Coturnix japonica: one gene and its partner. The protein of the gene in region 1 purifies or fractionates together with the protein of each later gene. This does not show direct contact. Links are inferred from orthologs where the notes say so. Each region holds a gene or a part of one and is shown on either strand. Other genes may lie near its edges. The genes, in order: CARNMT1 and RNF113A.

The links.
Region 2: the proteins of CARNMT1 (region 1) and RNF113A purify together in Homo sapiens (affinity purification with mass spectrometry; 3 studies listed by BioGRID and IntAct, counting the BioPlex papers as one, with this or other methods). This does not show direct contact. The link is inferred for Coturnix japonica from reciprocal best matches to the Homo sapiens genes CARNMT1 and RNF113A.

What each region holds. Positions count from the first base shown.
Region 1 is NC_029547.1:33,099,382-33,110,537, forward strand, and holds the end of CARNMT1 (carnosine N-methyltransferase), read right to left. Parts: intron 8,147-11,156; coding exon 7,968-8,146; intron 6,766-7,967; coding exon 6,652-6,765; intron 5,896-6,651; coding exon 5,792-5,895; intron 5,514-5,791; coding exon 5,397-5,513; exon of another isoform or gene 3,334-5,396; 3' UTR 2,978-3,333; downstream 1-2,977. Other genes in the region: CZH9orf40 (uncharacterized protein C9orf40 homolog), read right to left, coding at 349-504, 2,403-2,807.
Region 2 is NC_029542.1:2,224,912-2,237,106, reverse strand, and holds the start of RNF113A (E3 ubiquitin-protein ligase RNF113A), read right to left. Parts: upstream 6,669-12,195; 5' UTR 6,605-6,668; coding exon 6,505-6,604; intron 6,289-6,504; coding exon 6,212-6,288; intron 6,116-6,211; coding exon 6,011-6,115; intron 5,131-6,010; coding exon 5,023-5,130; intron 4,747-5,022; coding exon 4,637-4,746; intron 4,423-4,636; coding exon 4,316-4,422; intron 3,907-4,315; coding exon 3,817-3,906; intron 2,993-3,816; coding exon 2,899-2,992; intron 2,490-2,898; coding exon 2,383-2,489; intron 1,947-2,382; coding exon 1,861-1,946; 3' UTR 1,687-1,860; intron 180-1,686; exon of another isoform or gene 1-179. UniProt on the Homo sapiens protein: Required for pre-mRNA splicing as component of the spliceosome. As a component of the minor spliceosome, involved in the splicing of U12-type introns in pre-mRNAs. E3 ubiquitin-protein ligase that catalyzes the transfer of ubiquitin onto target proteins.

The DNA of each region.
Region 1 (11,156 bases):
AAATTGTTTTCCACGTGTAACTTATCCAACTGTTTCTTAAACTACATCCAGAAGTTAACTAATTTTCTGTCATTTTTTTCTACCTTGCTTTCATGAATTCAGGCCTTCATGCCAGACAATCACAGCCTCCTTCACACAGAATCAGTAAGTTCACATCTCCAGCTAGCTAAAAGTACCTAATAGTGATGATTCCACCAACCTGACAGCTCTGATTTGCCTTTTCAGATTGATATAACACTGTTTCTTCGTGAAAATTGAAGCATGTTGATTTTTCTCCCACACAGGAAAAACTGAATCCGAACAGAAATGAGCTTCCTGTGAGTAGATGTACAACTATGAAACAACTGATCAGGTCTCCATCTCAGTCTCCATGGTATCAGTCCTTGAAGGAGTCTTATTGGCAGATGTAGTCTCTTCATGCAGGCTCTGAATATCAGATAAATCAATTGTAGGCAGTGGTGCTCTCCAATAAAAGAATGAGTTATACTGATTGAATTCTTCTTGCTTTGAAAAGACAGAAAAAAAGAAAGGTAACAAAATATTAATATACATCATATTAATCAATTAAGCAAATAATTTACTTCTGTCAAGTACTCAACTACTGCATCACTTCTGGGAAACACCTCCATGATCTCATCAATTTGTTGAATTGGCAATCTTTCAATAGAAAGAAAAAAACAAAAACTTGTAAAAACCTCTGTTGGAAAGTGGTATTGGTTTTTAACCTTACATCCTTAACCACAGAATAAAATCTACAGACTGGGTGGCCAACCCATACATGTATCCATACAAGTTATTTATGTATGTAGGAAGTGAAAAAAGGAATTCTCAAGCAACTCCTTACATCTTAAGCATGCAATTTCTTTTGGTATATGAAAACAATAAATGCTTTTATTAACTTGTAACTGGAACTGTTAAGGCAGTATATTAAATGTCTCAGTATATCCAAGTGCTAAAAAAAGGGGTTCAGCAACTGAACTGGTACACCTGCTTTGAGATGGCTCTTGAACAAATTCATGCTCTGTCTGCTGACTCCATAACTGATTAATAAAAAATATGTAATGTTCAATAAATTCCAGTAAGCACTGGCCATAGCCCTTCTCAACCACCAGAATAACCATGCCTTTTTTTCTTTAACAAAATTTAAAAAATTAAGTGTATAAACTCACAGTACTTTCCCTCTAAAAATAACATTCCTCTACTCACTGCAATACAAGCCTACCGTGAACTCCAGTTTGTATTTGTTCATCTTTTTTTCTAAATATTCTATAAAGCAAATTATACAAGCATCTACCATACTTGTATAGCATATTTTTTCCCTCACTTCCTTCATGCCTCAGTTCTACAATACACCAGAAAACACAGACAAAAAGAAAAGCCTGAGGTAAAAGAAGTCACAAATCATAGAATCATAGGGGTTGGAAGGGATCTGTAGAAATCATCAAGTCCAACCCCCCTACCAAAGTAGGCCCCTACAGTGGGCTGCACAGTTAAGCATCCACGTGGGTCTTGAGTATCTCCAGAGGAGACTCCACAGCCTCCCTGGGCAGCCTGTTCCAGTGCTCCGTCACCCTCACTGTGAAGAAGTTCCTTCATATACCGGTGTAGAATTTTCTATGCTCCAGTTCATGACTGTTTACCCTCGCCCTGTCCCCACAGACCACTGAAAAGATGTCTTTACAAGTCACAGTGCTGTACAATCAAAGGATCAACTTGAGAATGGGCCTGATGTCCCTCCATCCTACCAGACCTGCCACCATAAGGCCACCAGATCCAATTCTTTGCTTTCATCTGAAAGGTACACGTGAGTTCACATGCTGCAGACCTCTACGCAGGTGTTACTTATAAGAAGCTAAAACCTTCCTCGAACCACATGTTGCCTGCTATGCTACTGCACAGAAGGCGGCCAGAAGAGGCAGGCCATCCTGCTCCATTGTTCGGCGCTGCCCAGGTGCGCTAGAAGCCAACCGTGTGCCGGCACTCTGATCACAGCACCAGCAGCAGCGAGGACCGCCACTAAAGGGGGCTCGCTCGAGCAACCGACTGGGCAGCCAGGCTGCCACACAGCCTAAGCCCGACTTGTGAGAGGCACTACCTTCAAACTTCCACCTCGCTTTTGGACGGGGATGTGACTGTAGACACAGTAAACACAGACAAGCGCTCCCCCCAGACTTTCTACTGCAGAAAGGTTCCAGCCTTTCTGAAAGAAAACACCGCTTTCTTAGCTGCAGAAAATACACGACCAAGAGCCCAAAGGGTCCATCGGCCGCGCACGGCAGTGCTGCCCGAGGGCACGTGGTTTTGCGGGGCCTGCAGCGCCGTGCCGGAGCGTCTGGGCGTGAGGCCCCAGGCTGCGAAGCAGCACCTCCCTCCCAGCCCCGCCCCGCTCCCCGCGCCGTTACCGGGGCGGCTGCCGGTTCCTCGCCCCGCCTGCCGTCGCTTCCTTCCGCCGTCCGCTCGTTCTGTGACGCCGCGGGCTCGCTCCGCCGCCGTCGCCTGCCTGCCGCGTCGCCCTGCTCGCCGCGTGGACTGCCGCCCCGCAGCCCGGGACGCTTTCCCGGAGGCGCCTCGGCCTCCTCCAGCTTCCGCTTGGCGGCGGAGCCGGCGCCCGCTGCCTCGTTCCGCGGGCGGCGCTCGGACAGGGCGCTGCGGAGCGGCGGCTCCCGCAGGAGCCGCTTGAAGGGCGCGTAACAGACCAGCGGTTCCGCGCGCCGCTTGGCCATGGGGGGAACCGGGCGCGCAGATTCCGCGCGACGCAACGACCGCGGCGGCGAACGCACCACCACCACCACTCGCCGAATGCGCATGCGCGCCGCCGCTTCCCCAGCACCCGCGTGGGGCGGGACAAGGCGAGACCACGCCGCCGTGAGGCCCCGCCCCGCTGCATGGGCAGCTCGGAGCCCTGCATAACCAAGGGCAGGAACACGCGGGACCTGAGCCGTACTCAAGCCGACGACAAAGCACACCGCACGCCGTGTCGTACTGCAAACTTTAATGTCTGAGTAAAATCAAGTTCATTACACACATTAAAAATAGCGGAAAGTTCACGCGGAGACATGAAGCTTCCAATCCCCATCTTTGTGACTGTGCTGTGTGTGCACTACATATAAATAATAACACAGGTAGCTTTACATTTGTCAAACATACTCCATACACAGAAGCATTTGTTAGGCCAGGATCTGGGAGCGCACTCACACTGGGTGCAGCGGGAGGAGTGTGGCACAGCAGTTATCCCCGGCAGGGCGATGGAGCAGCCTAGGACCGCGCAGGCAGGGCAGAGGGTTCCACACCACTGACTCACACCACCGATTCACAAGGCTGTGCCGCTTCCAGCTGTTAAAGAAGCTGCTACGCATTAAAAGGAAATTCGTGGGGGAAAGCTGGCATTTTCCAAATGAGAAATACAAGCACATTGCTATATACATGATTAAAGTCAATTAAACCACTTCTATAACCAGTGCTGAAAATGGCACTTGTGACAACATGGGGCAGCAACGAACAAAGCCAACTGAATGAAGGATAGCAATGTTCAACCAGAACACAAGGGTACAATTTCATATGTGTAGGAAACATCGCATGTTGGGTGTAACCACTGACTGCTAGGACAGGGCAGCCCTCAGCCTCAGCAGGACCAACATTCAGCTAACTCATTAGCATTCAGGAACTTGGAAACCAAAACGCTAATCTTGTTTTATCTGAGCAGAAAAAAAAAAAAAAAGTGAAGAAACACAAAGTCTAACCAGAAACCAAAGTAAATAATACAGTAAGAGAATAAAAGTAAGATTATTATTATTATTTTGAAGGTGTGGAAGGGCTCTTATTTTAATCCCACTGTGGTAGCAGCACTTTAAAAACCTTTCTTGGACCAAAGCAGAAACTCAGCAGTTCATTAACAGAGTAAAGTCTTGGAGGTGCAGTTTCTAACAAGAGTATTTTGTGTAAAGCTGAAAACTTCTGTAGTCCAGAAGTCTTTATTCTCAGTAAAAATTCTGACCAGAAAGGGGCACGGTACTGAAACACCCACAATCGCTCTTTTCCTATGTGCAGTGTTAACGTTTAAACACAAACCAACAAAGTAACAGAGCTGTGTTTTTCTTCCATGCAAACTTTCATCTTAGAAATGAAGGCACAAATGTCCAGCCTTAACAGGAAAAACCCCAAACTTAGCAATGGAAATATAAAAAAGATGTGATTATGAGATTCTGACATCACCCTGAAAAAGGGACCGGAAATAATTGTAAACATTTAAACAAGTTATTGTCCAGTGCACCATTGTGACCCTGAAAACACCCTTAATTCCTTACCACAAGGTTCTTATAGTTTGAATAACAGTAAAGGTGGTACTGAACCAAACCAGTACATTAAAGAGGACAAATGGCTACCATGATACCTCCTCTAAGCTCAGTAATTTTTTTTCATTTATATAACTTAAGCAAAAGAAGATTCAGCCTTACTTCTACGAAGGTTTGGCTAGGATTTGCAGATTAAATATCCACCTAAGCCTCATTAACCAGAAAAATAATTAGGAAAAGGAACCTAGAAGTAAGCCACTAAGTAGTAAAGTGCCTAAAGCTACAATGCTGACCCAGGTTAGGAAATTTACTAAGTTACAGCACATTATTTACATGGTTTTTTGTTTTTTTTTATTCCTCAAGAAAGAGGGATTTTTCTCTGTCACTACCTACAAGTAGCATGGATAACAGTTTTGTCATTAACACTGAAAAAGAGATGAGTGAAAGGTTTACTGTAGCTTTCTGTTAATTATATGTTTAACACTTTGGCTTAAGCGGTAAGTAGGTGACTCAAAATCAGTGTGTCTTAAAGCCACAATGCATCCAATATTTCTGTTTCAAGGCCATGAGATGATCATTTAGCTAAAACCCCCCTGGTAGGTTGCCACCGCCTCAGTAACAGGTCATTTAATCATTTCATAAATTTTCAATCATTTCAGACTTCATAACTGACTTTAAATGTACATTTAAAAATACTTCTTTAAATGTGATGCAGTAAGTACAGTAAGTACCTCTTTGCAGAAACACCCAAAAGCAGAACACCCAAAATCATTATAAATCCAAGGAAAACGAGGCAGCATTTGTAAAATTAGCTTGGCTCTGGCAAACAATTTTTATGTCCTAAAAAACATTTTTGTTCTTAACGCATTCCAAAGCACAAAGACAGTATATGCAAATATTTTATCCTCCATTTTCACTAGTCATAGTACAAATACGTATGGCATAGTACATGTCTGGATAGCAACAGAAATATTAAGAAAATAGACACTATCTAAATCTTATTAGGAATAGGAAGGCACCACTGATTTGAGGTTGCGTCCAGACATCAATCAGTCCATATTATTTTTATTTCTAGCATTCAGGCCAAACTCTTTTCTGACTAACCTATTCAAAGCACTTCTCTTCTGGTTTTCTCACCACAAACAACACACATTCATAGTAGTATTTCATCATGGAGAGTTCATTCACAGTGTAAGTTGACAGAACAGATTCTTTCTCCACCTGGAAAAAAAGCGTAAGTTTTCAAAACATTTTCAAGCACTACCCAAACTTCTCTTAGTGAAATAAACTGCTACTTAATTATAGCCCATAGATTTCAAAGCCTCACACTTTAAAAAAATGAGGAAAGCAAACTTGTGATGCAATTACACACAACCTACTCTCCTAAAAGTTTTTTGTCTATGACGCTAGCTTGAATGAACTTTAAGATAAACTTTTATTTAAAGACTTTATCAGGTCTCTACCAATACTGCTCAGTCAAAGCTACATCATCTTCTTACCTCTATATGGAAGCCATACTGCAGTATAACGTTTTTTATATCCTCATAGCTTAACTCTATTGAAAGTTCATTTGCCAGATTTTCAAAGTGGTAAAGAAGAGGACCTGGAGTGCAAACATAAAATGGAAATGTCTATCAAAAACATTTTTAAAACCAAAACCACATACTGAAAATGTGAAGAATGCTAACATCCAGACCCACTAAGCTGGAACATATTGCTATCACTGAAATACAGTATTCTGTGCAAAATCACAGTAGTTCAATTGCGTATGCAAGAATGAAGTCTCATTTCCCATTAAATCATGTTTTCTGTACCTTAAACTTTCTTCCATTCTATCAGTCTACTATCACTGCTGTGTGTACCAACTAGAATGCAGGCCAAACCATGATCTACTCAAGACCTGTGCTCACATTCTGTGACTGACAAGTTTATCCCACACAAAATGTTTAATAATAGAGTTTTGCCTGCCAGTCTCTCACCATAGGAAACTTAAACCCTGTTTTTAGTTAAGATAAGGAAACCCATAAATCTCATTTCCAAAACTTATACTTAGGAGCTTTAATTAATAGCAAGAACACAGCACACTAGAATTGTCAGATAACAAAAGTGTGACACATGTATGAGAAACCTAGCACTGGGAAGATACACTTCAACATTTCAAATCATGTGCTGGTAACTTGACTGTAACTAATATTTGAACAAATGCTGAACACAAAATTTAAAAGTTATGTGTGTTCTTATCTCCACACAGTCTTTAGTACAGACGCCTTCATCCCCACAACTATTTCATAGCACAAAATGCCTGCTATGTGAGTAAAGGGAAGTCAGAAGTTGCAAGAAGAAAGTTGGTCACACTTGCCTACATTTATCCATATGCCTCCAGGCTTCAGTATTTTCCATATAGTATCAATATAATCAATAACGTTATGTGCTGTATCAATGAAAAAGCAAGTTGCTATGCAGTCCCAAGTATCTGTGTAAGAACAATAAAATGTACAGATTAATTTAAATTTTCTTTTCCCCTATAGAAATTCATAATTTAACACCAGTATTTGTTTATACGCTCACTATTTCCTTTAAATAACAGTAACAACTGAACACCACACTTAAATTAAAAGTAAACTGTCATTTACAAGAAACTAAGTGCAAAACATTTTATGTTAAATACATTTAAAGCATGAATCTCCCTGTTTGTCTCTAAACATGTATCATTGAAATTGTAAAAGTTTAAGCTTCTGAAATAAAATAAAAATCTTAACATTCTTAAGATAACATCTTCAGAACAGCAAGCAAATGTAAGGAAGGCAACTACTGTAAAAATACTACAAAAAATAACAAAAATATTTTAATAGTGGTGAAAAACTGCTATGAAAACAGAATGGATGAGAGCTGTAACAAAAAATAGGCATTCCAAGTGATATCTAATGCTGTGTGAGGATAAAATACTGACTTTTATATAACCTGAATATTTATTTATTTATCTAGCTCTACCAGGTTCTGAAGAAATGAGATGTTAGACTATATATAAAAGTTAAGTATGTGCTGCCTTTGATCTAGTCTTGTGCACATAATTGACAGAGTAGGTGCTAAATATGGTCATCTGAAGGTTAATTCAGCTCCATCATAATAGACTGCTTTGGCCACAAAGAAAACAGCACAACTAACCTACCATCACAAGAGAAAAAAGTGGTATCTGTACTGGCATAAGTCTCAGTCTTTGTTACCTATCACTGCCACAGCGTATCTCGGAAATACTCATGACTGACCAGTAAGCACACATACATCTGCTTTAATAACAGGAAATAAATAAGTAAGAAATACAAATTTGTATATTTTGTACTGAATAAGAAAATTAACTTTCTATTCCAGCTCATAACATCATCTTTCCCGATCAGGTTAACCTTTCCATAATTTTTCCTTGTTGACTTATTCTAAAAGACACAACCGTAACAAATGTTCATTAGGAAAGGAGGAAAGGATGCATCCATTTTTTTATTTTTATTTTTTAATAACCAAAACAAAAAATTGATTTAGAAAAAAAATATCTTACTAACGCTGGTACTTTTTTGCTTAATGCTCATAGATATTGGTTATATTCTGTTTATGTGTTTATATATTACAATCACAACAAATAGTCTGAACCACGCAGCTGGTCTAAATGATGATTTTACTCACTGCATTCAGAGTAAATTTCTTGAAAATCCCCTGCTGTCATAGAGAAGTTTGAACCAGAAGGAAGACTGTGAGGATCAACATCAGGGAAGTAAATTGGACGTATCTGATCTGCAGATCTTTTGTTATTGCTAAACTGATGAATCCAGGGGTAAAGCTTACATGAGTTAACTTCAGAACATCTAGAAAATATAGAAATTGGAACAATTTAGTTTCAACTAATTGCTTACACATTATCTAGAAATGTACGAGACAAACTTCCAACATGCTTTTTTTTTTTCGTCAATGAAGCTCATGCTAAACCTATTATTGTTTTTTCACCTTATCTAGTTCAAAACAATTCAGGCTGCCCAACAATTTATGAGCTGTTCAAAATAGCAAATTCAGTCTGACACATCAACTGAACCACATGATGACTGCCTTTTCTTCATTTTAATTTTTCTCCTTTTTACAATTATTCCCAATTTCCCCAACAAAAATGACTAGAATTCCCTGCATAGAATTACTGACACTTGTGATTTAATATCCATAGTAATTATAAGCATTTTGCATCAATCTTTTTTTCCCCCCTATTTACAGAAAGGATTCTCTTACTTCTGTACTTGTTTTAAACTTCCTTGACCACATCTGTTCTCATCCAAGGCCTTCCTGCTCCTGAACCATAAAAGTTTCAAAGGCCAACAAAACAAAAGCATTTTTCGGATGCCAACTGAAATTATGCATTTAAATTTATATATATATATAAATAAATAAATGAATGAATGAATGAATATATTTATTTATATATGATAAATAAATAAATAAATATATATATATATATAAATTCCTTTTTGCAAAGTGTAATTTTTGTAATTCCATTTTAAGTCAGCAAAATCTAAAATACTCAACTTATGTCAAGTATAAGCATGCACTAATAAGTATGTCATCATAAAACAGAACTTGTGGATTGACATGACCAACTAGAAGAACATGTATTTTAAAAACTGACAAAAACAGCATGAAAATATGAGGAACACCTTTACACACAGTCCTGCAAAATCAATATTTAATTGAAAAATGAGGCGATTTTCATTCCCTGAGCAAAAGTGTATCCTGCTCTCTAGCCCAATTATTAAGGCTATGTTACACACGCATCACTAAATTCAGATAACAGAGGACACATCTATCCAACAGAACACACAGCAAACACTTGTAAACTGCAAGCAGTCCACCAGCTTGTAGAAAACACACTATTCACTGGAGGATAAAAAAAAAGAAAAATCAGTGTCAGAGTCCTAGAAATAACAGTTTTTACCTTTGTAAATATTTGTATTTAATCCATAAAAAACAGAAATACCCCACAATGCTGCTGTTGTATGAGCAGCAGTATACTGAGCACATTAACTGATGTTTATTTGTCCACCATGTATGGAGATAATCAGACACATGCAATTAGCCAACGAAAACAATTAGGTAAAAAACTGTAACCACAGGGGCATCATTTTCTTAAAACAAAACATTTCAAAATCTGCCAACAAATGTTTTGTGCTAACTATTGTGGCACTCTCATGTGCTCAGAGTCAATTTGTACTAGCCTATGAATATTCTGTGTAAGAATGAAATTTTCCAAAAAAGCAAGGAAAAGGAAAAAAAAAAAATCTGAGTAGATCAGAATGGAATTTTTTTCTGAGCTATAAGGGAGGAAACACCTCTAGATATTTTTTTTTTCCAGCACAAATTGTACTAATGTAGACTTCCCAACAGTTTTAGAAGGAATTACTGATTCAGTATAAAAGACTAATTCTTATGTTTACAGTCCCTCTTGAAAAATCTTCCTTTTTACTCAAAAAAAAAAAAAAAAAAGTCAACCAAAATAACAACAAGCAACGAAGCAAAGAAACTACAGCAAATCTTCACGTTTCCCTCTTTCTGCAAAACATGTTAGATAAAGTTGACATCCTCAAGTAAAACTGTGACACATTTCATTTCTTTTCAAGAAAAGGCAGAACATTTCCTGTACAATATTTAGTCTGAAACGCTTGCACTCCAAAAGATAGTGAGGCCATACCTTACTTTTGACCACTGATTTCAAAATAGAACGCTAACTACTTTCATCCTAAGGCACTCACGGACATGCAATAAGTAGAATTGAGCAGCCTTCTCAAAGTGTCAAGATTTATCTACAAAGATGTTTTTGCATGAGACCAAGGATTAGCCAGTTTTTAATTAGCATGAAATACACTTCTATTTAAGAGCTCTTCTTAAAGCACTCTGTTATTTGGGTACAAAATTTTATATTACTTCACCTGAACTTTTGGTATGCCTTCCAGAGGCAGGAAAACAGGTTATGCTTTTAACAGCTTTTGTTCTTAATAAAAATCACAGGGAGTCTGTTCATCACCTCTGCCATCTGTTACAGACTGAACTCATCTAAATGTAACAAAAAGAAACCAGCAGTAAGAGCCTTAAATCAGAATAAATAAAGCAGAATCAGGTGGGTGTCTTGGAGCCACTGGAGTTTAACTACTCCAGAACAAGTGTATTTTCAGATTAAAACTTCATAATAATGCATTTTAATTTTATACTTCAAATATTCACAGGTGAACATAGCTAGGCCTTGATGCATTTCCTATATTTAACACTATCAAACCTCATTCAAGGTGAAAAAAATGTCATAACTTAAGAGAATTTATTTTTTATGTCTGTTCAGATCAGCAGGTATCTCTGCACACAGAAGACGTTAGTCATATGTAGAATAGACTTGCTACTCATGACAGTACCTTATATTCCTAAAAATAAACTAAGGTCAGCCAGGGGCACAAGGCAGATCGAATCTGTAAACACACACTAGCAAAATCCTTCTAATTTTATCAAATGAAAACCAGAAATGTATTTAAACCAGAGTCTAAGATTAATCTGCAAAATTTTTGAAGTTTTTTTTTTCCTTTACACTTGTCCTTAGCCGCTATGTTCTGCTCACGTTGATCAATGCTTATTTTCCAAAGCCAGGAAGGTAAATATAGATTTCCAAAGGCTAACAAGGAACAGACACCTAATACTAAAAACAAAACTCTCAAAATTCTGTAAAATTTTCCAAACTGATATCCCAAGGCATGATCAGATCTGACAGTAAGGAAATCAGCTGAAATGACTGGAATTCAGTTAGTGTAGCAGTTACGAGTATTTTTCTTCCCTGCAAATAACAAAATTTGT
Region 2 (12,195 bases), on another chromosome or scaffold:
AAGAAGCCTGGAAACAAATGGACAGACCGGAGCTGCGGAGCATTCAGGGTGGTGCAGTGCCCCATAGTCCAGTTCTTGCAGCTGAGTAGCAGGAGAACACAAGAACGGGTTGAGTGAATCTGTTCAGTTATGGTCTCTTTCCCCTTGTTTCTAAAAAGGATTGGCTTCCTCGTCTCACAGGTGAAGGCTGCACGACCCTATTTTTTTATATGTATTTTTTAAAGGGTGCCTTAGAGTTAAGAAGGGGAGGAAAGCAGTTCTTAGTTTTGGGCATTTTCTTAGAGCTAGTCGGATTTGTGTTGTTACTGGGTAACTTCTGAGGGTGCAGAAAGGAGTGCATTCTTAAGCTTGGTCACTTCTTTATGGTGGAAAATGAGAACCAGAAGGTAACCTGAGGCTGTCGCGGGCACATTCACTGCACTGGGCTTTCCTCTGCACTTCTGAGCTCTGCTCCAGCTCTGGAGAGAGCTTTTAAGACTCCTCTCAGTTGAGGCTGTGTGCTCTGAGCTCCAGGTCAGATGCCATCCCCATCTCCTCCCATGGCTGCCTGGGTCATCAAATCCTAATGTGTAATTCTGTGCAACATACCAGCTTTTCTAACCTCCCACAGCACATCCAGCTCAGCCTCCTGTTAGCTGGGCTGCTTTTACAGCATGGAATATCCATACCAGCCCGTGCTCAGTGACTTGGCATGGAGGGAAAGTAATTTTCACACCAAATCCTCTTACTCACAAAACACCTCTTTGAATGTTACGCTCACTGATCTAAGCCCTCTGTTGCCATTGCTGTACCATCATCCCCAAATGAATGAGATATAAAAATCCTTTGCTTGCTTTTCACACAGCTTCCCTTGATCCCTGGCTGTGACAGCTCACAGCATTTGGTTTTGGAGGCGTGTTTAAGGCTTTTTAGTTTGACCTTTCCAAGGACCACAGGTGCTGGAGCTCTTTCCACTCTCAAATGAAGCACTGGGATTCCAGCCCTGTAAGCGTGCTTGATGGGAGGAGCGGTGCTGACAGCAGGTCCTTCTGTTTGTAAACGACTTGAAGCCAGATGAAATTTGTTACTCTAGTTTTTGGGTTTTTTTTTTTTTTTTTTCCAAAATAAAATATTTCTGAAGTTTGTAAGTCTGCTGTTTCTGCAGGGTGATGGAAGCTTATGCTCTTCTCAGCTCCATACTTAGGAGGTTGCATCTTGCAGTTCAACCCATTGTGAAGTTTCCTTCTTGCCCAAATTCTTATCCCCATCCCACAGGCCTGGACAGAGCTGGTTGCAGCAAGGGAAAAATCATTGAGAGAAGTACCACTGATGGCATAAAACCTTGCATTAGGGACATGGTACAGCTGCTGGCTTCCTCCCCAAGGGATGATTCCACAGTGGTATCACTCTCTGAAGTCCTGAATCCTGTTTGATGTTACTTTAAGCTCTTGACTTCTAGAGATCAAAAGGCAGCAGAAAAGATGGGAGGGAATACGCTCCTCTGAGCTGCAATAAATCACAACTAACTGCAGCAGTCTGGCTTACCTCCCAAACAGCATTTCCAAAGTGACAGATAAACTTGGTACAAGCCAATAGTTTTCATTCTTCTCTCTGCTTTTAGCATTTGATTTGACTGAACAAAATTCAGACCCTCCCTCCCCAGGCCCTCGTGGTCCTACTAATGGCACAGAAGACAACTCAGCTTACCCATTCTGTCCTGTGTCTTCTCTGACAACTGGCACCACTCGTGCCCCCATTTTAACAAGGCCTGGTTGGATGAACCACCAATGGCTGCAGCTGCTGGCCCAAAGGCAAGTGCTGTGATCTGTGCATTCTTCCCATGAAAACTTTATTGGGCTCCATACAAAACAGAGTGCTTTGCTAGTGTGGGTCTTCACCATGTTCTGAGTGGTCTGACTCCTCCTCTTCCTCCTCCCCTTTGTGTTTTTCCAATTTTGCCATGAGCTCTGAAAAGCAGGAAGATGCAGGATGAGATTCCAGGTGCAACATGGAATGGCCAGTAGCAAAGCTGGATGCCCAGGACCTGCCAACACAGCTCTGTCCTGGAACCAAAGCACCTACCAAAAATCACTCATCTGCACAAAAGCTAAGCCAGGAACTACCACCAAACACTGAGCCCTTCAGTGGGGCTTCAGATGCTAAAGTTCCAGGCTCTGTCAGTGGATTACTGACCAGAAGAGCTACTGTCTGCACTCCCAGCACCCTCACCAGAAATCAGTCTCCCCCTCTGGGCAAACACAAACACTCTTTTTTTACCCCTGTGGTGGCACCCAGGCCCTGATGTGGTGTTTCCAAGCACTGAGAGAAGTTCTGCCTGTGAGCTCCACCTTGCAGCCGAATGCTGTGATCATACAGCAGCTCTATCCCACAGGTGGCCGTTACCTTTGGCTGGGTTGAAGACTCCATTGGTCTGCTTATCACACACGTAACAGCGCTGGGATTTGCGATAGTGTTGGAGGGCACAGCTCTCACAGAAGTAATGCCTGCACCTGTATGGAGAAACAGACGGTACTGCCAGTCACCAGATACAACTGCTGCATCCAGGAGTTAGAGATCATCAACTACTGAGCCCTGAGGGATGCAAAAATAAGCTGGATGTACAGAGCCCTATGCAGCATCAGCTCTCCCAGAGACAGCACAGGTGCAAGGTGATGTGATCAGGCAGCATCTATAGAAATATAAAAGGTTCTTGGACAACAAAGGCTTGAGACCCCACCAAGTTGATGCTTGAGATGTAGTTATGAAACTCCCTGCATAGCAGAGGCTTTCCCCACCCACCAGAAAAGCAAACAAGCGTGCTCCTTCCACCAGCATGTGGACAATGCCAGTGTTTGCTACCAAAGAGAATGACTGACTGACTGAAGGACTCAGCCCACTACAGATGTTTTGGCTCCTTACTTGGTGACCACGGGGTTCTTGAAGGAACTTCTGCAGATGAAGCATTTGAAAGGCATATCCTCCTCATCGCTGCTCACCTCATAGTTCTCTTCATCTGCACGAGGGAAAATTAACCAGACTGGAACAAGAGCAGAGGCAGCCAGGCCAGCAGATGCACAGGGCATGAAATATGGAACATGGAGAAAGTACAGCAGGTGGGATGGACTCTGCTGGAAACAACAGCATCTGGGTGTCACTGATGTCAGTAACGTGTGTGGGATTGAGATATAATTAGGTCTAATGAGCCAGTGTGCTCGTTGCTCATCTCACAGGAGCACATTTTGTGCGACACCCACTTGCTGCTATAAACAGACTCATCCTCCAGTTCCTTATTTTTCACATTTTTTTCCAAAACAGCTGCTATTGAACTCTTCAACTCAGAGAACATCCCCTGCAGCTGCCCAGCAGTTCATAAGCTACACTTGGCTGCATCCCTGGGCCACAGATATGGATTCTGAGTGAGAAACAGGGATGTGACAAAGCATGAAAGCATTCCATCTGTGCTGCAGGAGATGGCTCTATCTATCTCCCCATCTCCACGCTGCTTGCTGCTGGGATTCATACAACAACAGACTGCTATATTTTGTATAGACAGACAGAGCAAATTATCCCCCCTGGTAGCAGTCAGTGGTAATCTGAAAGCAGCAGATTTGCACAGCACTGGCAGTTGTTATTGGAGCTAAGGTAACTCCACAGCAGAGAGTTCCATAGCTTTGTGGAATGAGGAATTCTCTCCATCTAATCAACCCATTGCTTGTGCAGTTTGAGACAGCAAAGTCTGTAAGTCACATTCACTCTTCAACACGAGGGAAGGAAGGACCCTGTGGCCTCATACACCATTAGCTTAGGGAGCAGGAGAGCAGAGGGGCTGTGCTGTACCATTGACTCCATAGCGGCCTTCATCCAGTTCCCTTTCTATCTGCCAGCCGTGTTTGTAGTCTGAGCGGTCGTGGAGGAATTTGCAGCTGTCTGGAAAGCACAAAAGAGGGATGAACAATCTACCCCCATTGCCCAGCTGTTCAAAGGACACCTCATCCAGGGGCAGCCTGAGATTTGCTCAGTACAAGGTGAAACCCAATTACTTCTGTACCCACCCATGCTACAGGGCAGGGCCAAGAGAGATGAGGCCAAGAGAGGGCCTCATCCTGCCCTCTCAGGATCAACAGGCCACAAGCATCACGTTCTGGATGCCACAGCAAGAGCTCCAGCATTCACCCACATAGGAAAAGGAAAAGGAGATCCCACCACCTACATAACCTCAGGTGAGGAAATACTAACTCTGCAAACAGGTGCCCATGAATTACTAACTGTGCAATTTCATGCCACAAAACTTGGGCTCACCATCTGGATTGGATCCCTGCAGGCAAGACCCACTCACCTCCAAAGCCGCAGAACCCTGTTTCCTTGTAGTCCTTACAGATGTCTGGCTGGTAATCCCACCGCACCGTGGCCCTCAAGTGCTCTGGAGCACGGATGGGTCCTTTTCTGAAAGGGTGGGAGAAGGCTCAGTCCAGCTGTGTCACTGCAATGGAGAAAACCCCTGCGGGCCCGGCCAGAACCAGACACCAAACTCATTAGATAGGAACAAGCTCCAAAAACAGCATCATTTCAGCCCAGAAAAGTGCCCCTGGGGACAATGTCTGAAATTCTCTGTGGTTCTATGATCCACCCCCCCCATCCCAGGCTCGTCCCAACCTACCTGACCATTCCTGAAGAGGCATTTCCCATTGACGTGTCTTTGGGCTTCACATATTTCTGGTAATTGTTAATACCACGGTAAATTTTATCATCTTCTTTTCCTCTCAGTTCCTAGAAGAGAAAAAAAAAAAGGCAATTAGGGGTCAGAAGATCTTCATGTCACAAGCGAGCTTTTATCTCTCCCATACCAACCTCCCCTCCTGGCCATACCTTCCTTAATACCAAGTAGTCAATAACACCAGCAAGTCCCCCCATTTACATAGACAACACTTCCAACCTCTCAAATATGCAGGCAAGAAAAGACTCAAGGTCTTGGCATGCAAAAGGAGATGAGTAAGCACACACACTCCTGCATAGCATGAACTCTTAGAAGTGAGGCTGACCAACCTCTTGTATTTTCTGGCTGCGTTCGAAGATGGCCTGGGCATCTTTATCCTTCTCTGTGTCCAGTTCATACACTGCTGTGGCCCCCATGTCTTCTGGGCCAACAGGTTTCTGAAAAGCAAGAACAATATGTGATAACAGTAAAAAGAAAGGCTGCATGAGACAGAAACCCCTCGGCTACCTGGAGGGCCAGTCACTGAACAAGTGCTGGGCATGGCCTGCTTCACCCTCCAGCAGTTTCTAACTTCTATTAGCATCTTCTCTTAGCATCCAGCCTAGTACTTGTGCAAGACAGGATGTTAATTACTGACTGCTCCCAGGTTTTAGTTTGCAGAGTCAGGACACAGAAATCCCCACTTTACTCCTTCAAGCTTCATCTTGTCTTAGCTGGAAACTGATCTCAGGTCTCTCATGTTCAGTGCTTCAGCCATGAGACCACCCAGCCCACAGGCAGGATGTTATATCTGAACTTTTAACCCAGCTGTGGGCAGCCTGTGCTCTGTTTTAATTCAGTGATCTAGTCTTGGTTCCTTGTGAATACAGTGAACAGACAAATGCTCTGAGGTTCTGTCAGCTCTTCATTTGCACAGAAACCAAATAATTACAACCAGCCTCAAATTAAAAACAAACCCATCTTACACACCAAAAGCTTCTGGAACCCCAAAGGCTCCACCTCCTCCTAAGAACGTGCTGCCCTGCCCTTCAAGTATTAGGGCCACAATGAGGTCTCCCCGGAGCCTTCTCTTCTCCAAGCTAAACAAGCCCAGTTCCCTCAACCTTTCCTCCCAGCAGAGCTGCTCTGAGCTCCTTGTTGAACAATGCAGAATATCAGGAGAATAAACCCAGCTTGTGTGTTAGGAGGGGAGGGACAGGGAAACACAGCTACAGATCAAAACTGAGAAGAGCTGATGGCACATTTACAGAAGCAGAGTATGGGATATGAGTATGGGATTAACCCCACCCCAGAAGCTCATCTGCGCTCAGTCCTTACCGCCGACCTTGTTGATTTGTACGTGACTCCGATCTCCTTCGACGGATCATCATCATCGCTGCTGCTCAGGGCGTATGAGGGCCGCTCCTTTGTGCACCTCCTGGTCTGAAGGGCGGACAGACAGACAGACAGACAGACAGCGGGTGTGAAGGCTGGATGTGCCCCACACAACAACAGCACAGCGCCCTGTGTGCACCTCACCTTCTGGATCATGGGGTTGGGGGCGTCCCTCCGTCGCTCCTTCCTCACCACGGTGCTGCCCTCATCGCCGCTGCTCCCTGCGGGGTTTAATGGGGTTTAATGGGGTTTAATGGGGTTTAATGGGGTTTAATGGGCCTGACCGCGGGGCTCCGGGGATGGAGGCAGCGCCCCTCAATCACACAGCTCAATAACCGGGCCCCACTGAGGGGCTGTACGACCCACGGCCTTCCTCCGCCTCCCTCGTGCACCACAACAGGCCGCATCGGGATATACCACCCCCGTCAGCCCCTCACCCTGCTCCTGGTCGCTGCTGGGCCGCTTCCGCCGCCCCCTCCCCGCCGCCAGGCCCCGCTTCTTGAACACGAAGCCGCACACTGAGCCTCCCTCCGCCATCTTGAGCCGCCGCCTCAAGACAGAGCGGCACTAGATGGGCGCAGAGCCGCACAGCGCCCCCTGCTGGACGGGAGGACTCGGGCCGCATAGCGCCACCTGCAGGCGTGGAGGGTGAATTGCGAGTCGCCATAGCAACCCCAACAGAACACCAATAGAACCCGAATAGAACCCCAAAAGAACCCGAATAGAACCCGAATAGAACCCCAGCAGAACCCCAGCAGAACCTCAACAGAACCTCAACAGAACACCAGCAGAACCCCAGCAGAACCCCAGCTGAACCTCAACAGAACCCCTATAGAACCCCAACAGAACCCCAACAGAACCCTAATAGAACCCCAACAGAACCCTATAGAACCCCAGCAGAACCCCAACAGAACCCAATAGAACCCAACAGAACCCAATAGAACCCCTACAGAACCCAATAGAACCCCAGCAGAATCCCAACAGAATCCCTACAGAACCCCAACAGAACCCCAGCAGAACCCCAATAGAACCCCAGCAGAACCTCAACAGTACCCTAATAGAACCCCAACAAAACCCCAGCAGAACCCCTACAGAACCCCATCCACCATCGCGGTTCCGCTCGCTGGGTGGTACCCGCACCCCGAGCGCTGCTTCGCGACCCCGAGCGCAGCATCGCACCCACGGTGGGCGGCAGAATGCGGGGTGGGGGTATGGGGGGGGTATGGGGGGNGGGGGTATGGGGGGGGTATGGGGGGGTTGGGGAGGGGGGTCGGTGGGATGGGGCCGGCGATGCGGTTTTGGGGTGGGGGCAGCGGGGGCCGCCGGGTGAGGGAGAGGCGGCCGCACACAAAGGAGCGGCGCTCGGATCCGCACCGCGCAAGGAACCAATCGCCGCCACGGCCGCGCGATAAAAGGGGCTGCGGGGGGAGCGCGCACGGAGCGAGGAAGGGACGGAGCGAACGACGGAGATACGGACGGACAGAGCAACGGACAGCACGGGGAGGGCTCAGCCCTTGTGCTGCTCGGCGGCGGACCCGGGGGTATGGTGGGTTTGGGTTTGTCGGGAACAATGGGGGAGGGGAACAAAGCGGGGTGGGAGGGCTCGGAGATGATGGGGAGAAATGGGGGCTGCAGGTGGGGAGCCCCGATAGCGGTGCTGCCATATGGGGCTGCGCAGCAGGTGGGGGACCCCCCCCCCCAAAATGTCTGTGTGATCCTCCAGGGGGGAACTTCTGCTCCGGGAGGCGGCTCGGTCGAGGGACTTTAGGGTGGGGGAGCACTCGGGGGATGCTGTCTGAGCTCTGGATGCCTTTTGGGGTTGGGATTCTGTTGGGAAATGGAGAGGGGTCCGCACCCGGTGCTGAGCGGGGAGGGGAGTGAATAGGGTCTGGGCGTGCGGTGTTTAGAGGGGGGTGGGTAGGAACATTTTGGGGTTCCCCAGCTGTGCTGAGCTCCCTCTTTGTTGTGTGCTGCATCCCGTGCTTGGGGGTGTGGTGGGGTTGGACAGATCCATTTTCTTAAGCTGAGCAGAAAGAGAGGAGATAGAAGAAAACCTGTTAGATCCCCGCTTCTCTATGCCCCCTCCTCCCCCAGCCCCTTGGCTGCTGCCTGCTGTATCTCCGTGCTGTGTCTCCCAGCGCCCATCCAGCCCTGCTTTATATCCCTGCAGCCACAGGTCCTCCATCACCCCCTCAGGAGGTTGTTGCATGACTGTGAGGTTTGATCCCAACGTGAACACACCCCCAGCTCTGACATCCCCCACCCCGAGCAGCTGGGGACCCCCCTCAGGGCTTCACAAAGGGAAACAGCTCTGCTTTCACTAGGGGGAAAGGGAATGGATAAAAAACCAAAGTGTTCAGCATCACCCAAAAAACTACAGCCCCAGGGCTCCCAGTTGGCAACTCTGTGCTGTGACCATTGGGTAAGGCAATGATCTGGTCCCTGTAATCCCTTTGGATCCCTCAGACCAGCTGAGATACCACGTAGATGATGGGTTTTATTGGTTTTTCCATTGTTGATGGGGTGGAGATCTGTTTTGGAACGCTGGAGTTGTGTGGCAGCCTGTGCTGTGCTTTAGGAATGGGGCTTTGTGCACTGAAAGCATCTCACGAGGGCTCTCCAAGCTGAGCTTTAGGGCTGGGGGCAGCATGCCTGCAGCATTATTAATGCTGATTGAAACATAATGGCAGGGTAACTGATGGACTATAGTCTGAACCAGCCTCAGTGCTGCTCCCCTCTCCCCATGGGGTCCCATAGGAGGCAAACTCCCAGGTGAGCAGTGAGGCTCAGCACGGGGTGTGCAGTGACCGCATACATCCTTGTTTCTATGAGGCTCACAACAAAAGTACTGGCCTTTTTTGCTCACCAGAAGCCCCCATGAGGCTTCTCATTAGGGAAGGGAGTTCCATTTGTGGTTTCCTCCTGCAGGCCTGTGAACCTACAAGCAGTCCCATAGCTGTGAGGGGTTTTCCTTTTCCTCTATGCCCATCCTTGGCTCTTTGCAGCCCATTGTCACACAGCTGCCATGTTCCTAGAGGTGTCTGCCTTTTGCTTTCCACTAATACCATTTTTTATCTGCCATCTGGGAGTGTTGCAGAGCTTACCTTGCTATTAGCAAAGCTCCGGGGTGGACAACGTTAAATCTGGGTGAAGGGATTATAGCAGTCTTTAAATACACAATATATTTCTCACTCCTCCTGTGAGCCCATAGCCCGCTCCATATCTCCATATGGCCAGCGAGTGGGGGGCACTGCAGGGGAAGAGTGGATCAGCACAGATGTGTGTTGCTAGGGAAGGGGTCCAAGGGGGATGCAAAGGTCTGAGCCCTCCTCTGGTGCAGCAGAAGGGATGGAGAACTTGTCTTATAGGAACAGATTAAAGGGATTGGCTTCTTGTGGTCAAAAAAGAGGAGGCTGATAAGCATAACCTCCATGAGTTATAGTGGGCAAACTGGGAGCAAAATTCCACAGTAAAGGGATAAACATGTTGGTAGGAAACTGGGAGGTTGAGTTTGTGGGTAGAACATGGGGGGAGTCTTCTAAGGCTAAGGAAGCACTGAGAAGGGGATGGAAGGGGCAGAACTGCTGTGCTTGTGTGTGCTGCACTTAGTACCATGCTGCAGAGCTTCCAAGTCTTCCTTCTTCTGAAGCATTTGTGCCTAATGTCCAATCTGAACCTCCCAACCTGTCATTCTGACTCTGCTTTATCATCTGGTGCTAATGAGAGACATTTCTCTGCCTGGAAAAGAATCTCCTCTCCCCCACCCAGCAGCTCCCTGCTGCATTTGTCCACTCTCTGAACTCTGAACGAGATAGCAGAACCCAGGGAGCAGAGATTCCCTTCGTGGTTCTTAATGGATGCCATAAAACATGGCTCTAGTCCAAGGGATGGGCTGCTCTGTGCTTCAGTTCCCACTGCTGGAAAACAGATGGATCCCAGCAGCATCCTCAGGGTAAGGCTGGACGTGGAGCTCCCAGAGCTGAAGGTGGGAGAGTAGAATGGCTGGGCAGGGGCTTCCCCTGGCTCCTGTGGGTCCTCCATTGTTGCTCTGACAAAGGCAGCCCTGTTCCTCCCCACAACTATTCCTTGTCAGCATCCCTCAGCATTTCGGCTGCAGATTTCCTGCCCACTGGCAGCCTTTCAAGAGACAGCACGAAACGTGGATGGAAAGTGGATGAGAGGGGCAGCCCTGCGTGGTGGGGCTCAGTAGGGTCATGGGGGGCTGCATGAGTGGACCACTTGGTTCCCTCCAGAGCCCTCTGTCCTGGATTGCAGCAGCAGGAACCTGGGCTGGGTCCCAAACACCAGTGTTGGCTTGGAGCCACTTGAGGAGCTCAGATTTGAAGCCAACTTAGAATCATGGAATCATTGAGGCTGGAAAAGACCACTCAGACCATCAGGTCCAATTGCCAGCCCATCACCACCATGACTTGAGGTCTGCCAAGGCTGAAGCCATGACCACCACACTTATGTTGTCCAACCCAGGCTGCAGCTTGCTGCCCCTTTCCATGCCTGAGGAGCTGCAGCAGCACTTGGGTTGTTGTGTCCCTGGGCTGATGCTGGCCTGTTTGATGCAGGGGTTGGCCATGCCATGGCCAGCATTTGCACTAATCCTACACGTGGTCATGGGGATGTCAGCAGTACCAAATATAATGCTCAACAGCCCCTCTGAGGAGTGGAACCCATGGCATGCTGCTGGGGACATGGCATCTTCTTGGGATGGAGAGGGAGAGGGCCTGGATCCTCCCCCCCAAACTGTGCTTGGTCTTTGGGAAAGCCTCCGGCCATGGCACAGTGATCCCAGCAGTAAACACTGACTTCACAGGGCTGCTAATGGGAACCATATGGCAGAGAGGGGCCTCTCACCCTTTGCAGTCACGCTGCTTTCCTGTGCTGGAAAGCCATCATCAGCTTTCAGAGACGCTCTCAGCCAGCAGTGGGCTGCTTGGGGGCCCAGTGAAATGGGGATGGTAGGCAGCAAGGGCAGTGCTGTGTGTTGGAGGCAGGTCATGGTCACTGGGGGATATGGTCCTCCAATGAGTTGGAGAGTTTCCACAAGGGGCCACTCCAGATGCTCCCCTGACCTTACATGTGTCCCCAGGGCCAGGCAGGTGAGAGGCTGTGAATCAAATGCTTTGTGACTGAGCAGCTTCTGGGCTGAATGCTGCCTTCTTCAGCCCAAATTACTCCTTGGTTAGTGCCAAAGGACAGAACTGCAGCACTCCTCCTGCTGTACTCCCAGCAGCTGCATGTGCCCTGCAGGTGAGCTCCAGCCCCAAGCCTTGATCTCAAGCCCAGATCCATTGGAAGGCCATCAGATGCTCCAAGGAAGGGCAGGAAAAGTGAAAGCTGCAGCATGTGCAGGGTGAAGGGGTTCTTGTCCCATCCTGAGCTTTATGGTAAGAAGTCAGTACTCAGTCCTCCTCTTCTTGGGCTGTATAGGTGGTGAAGGAGCTTAGGAACAGAGGCCTAGATAAATCAGGGCTAGCGGCCGTGGGTGCCAACATGCACCATGGAAGCCTGGACTGGGCTTCCTTGCTTTGTCACAGACATCATCTGTGGTCTTCATGAAATCACCAAGCCGTTCCAGCACTAGCAGTCCTGGCATCGATGTGGCAATGTGTCCTTAAGCAAAGCCTGTGCCGTGGGGGTTCCTCTGCACACAGAAGCGTGTTTACTGCTTTGGGCTCAAATCCCCCCTGTGCAGACTAATGCCTCCTTGAAACAGCGATGACAGCAGCTGGAAGCCTCTTAGAAACACTCCCATGGTCACTAACGTGCTCTGTTTCCCTTATCGCTTCAGCACACCCTTCCCCTTTGAGATTTCTACTCCCGTCCTTGGGCAGGAAGGACATTTAGCAACATCTACTCTTGTCCGTAGGGCAGCTACACCAAAGGGGCCTCTCTTGAAACAGAGACCGGGGCACGGGACTGCAGAAGGGTATGTGCATGGATGGAGAACATCAAGATATAGGTTGGGATAATTGTGATGACCTTGAAGGGAATGGGATTGGGGGGCTGCTGAATGCAGGAAAAGAAGGGAAAAACAGACGCAGAAGGAGACAAGGATCATGGGGAGGAACTGGGGAAACTGAGGCAGCTGGGGTAGCGGGGGGAGATGGGCTGTA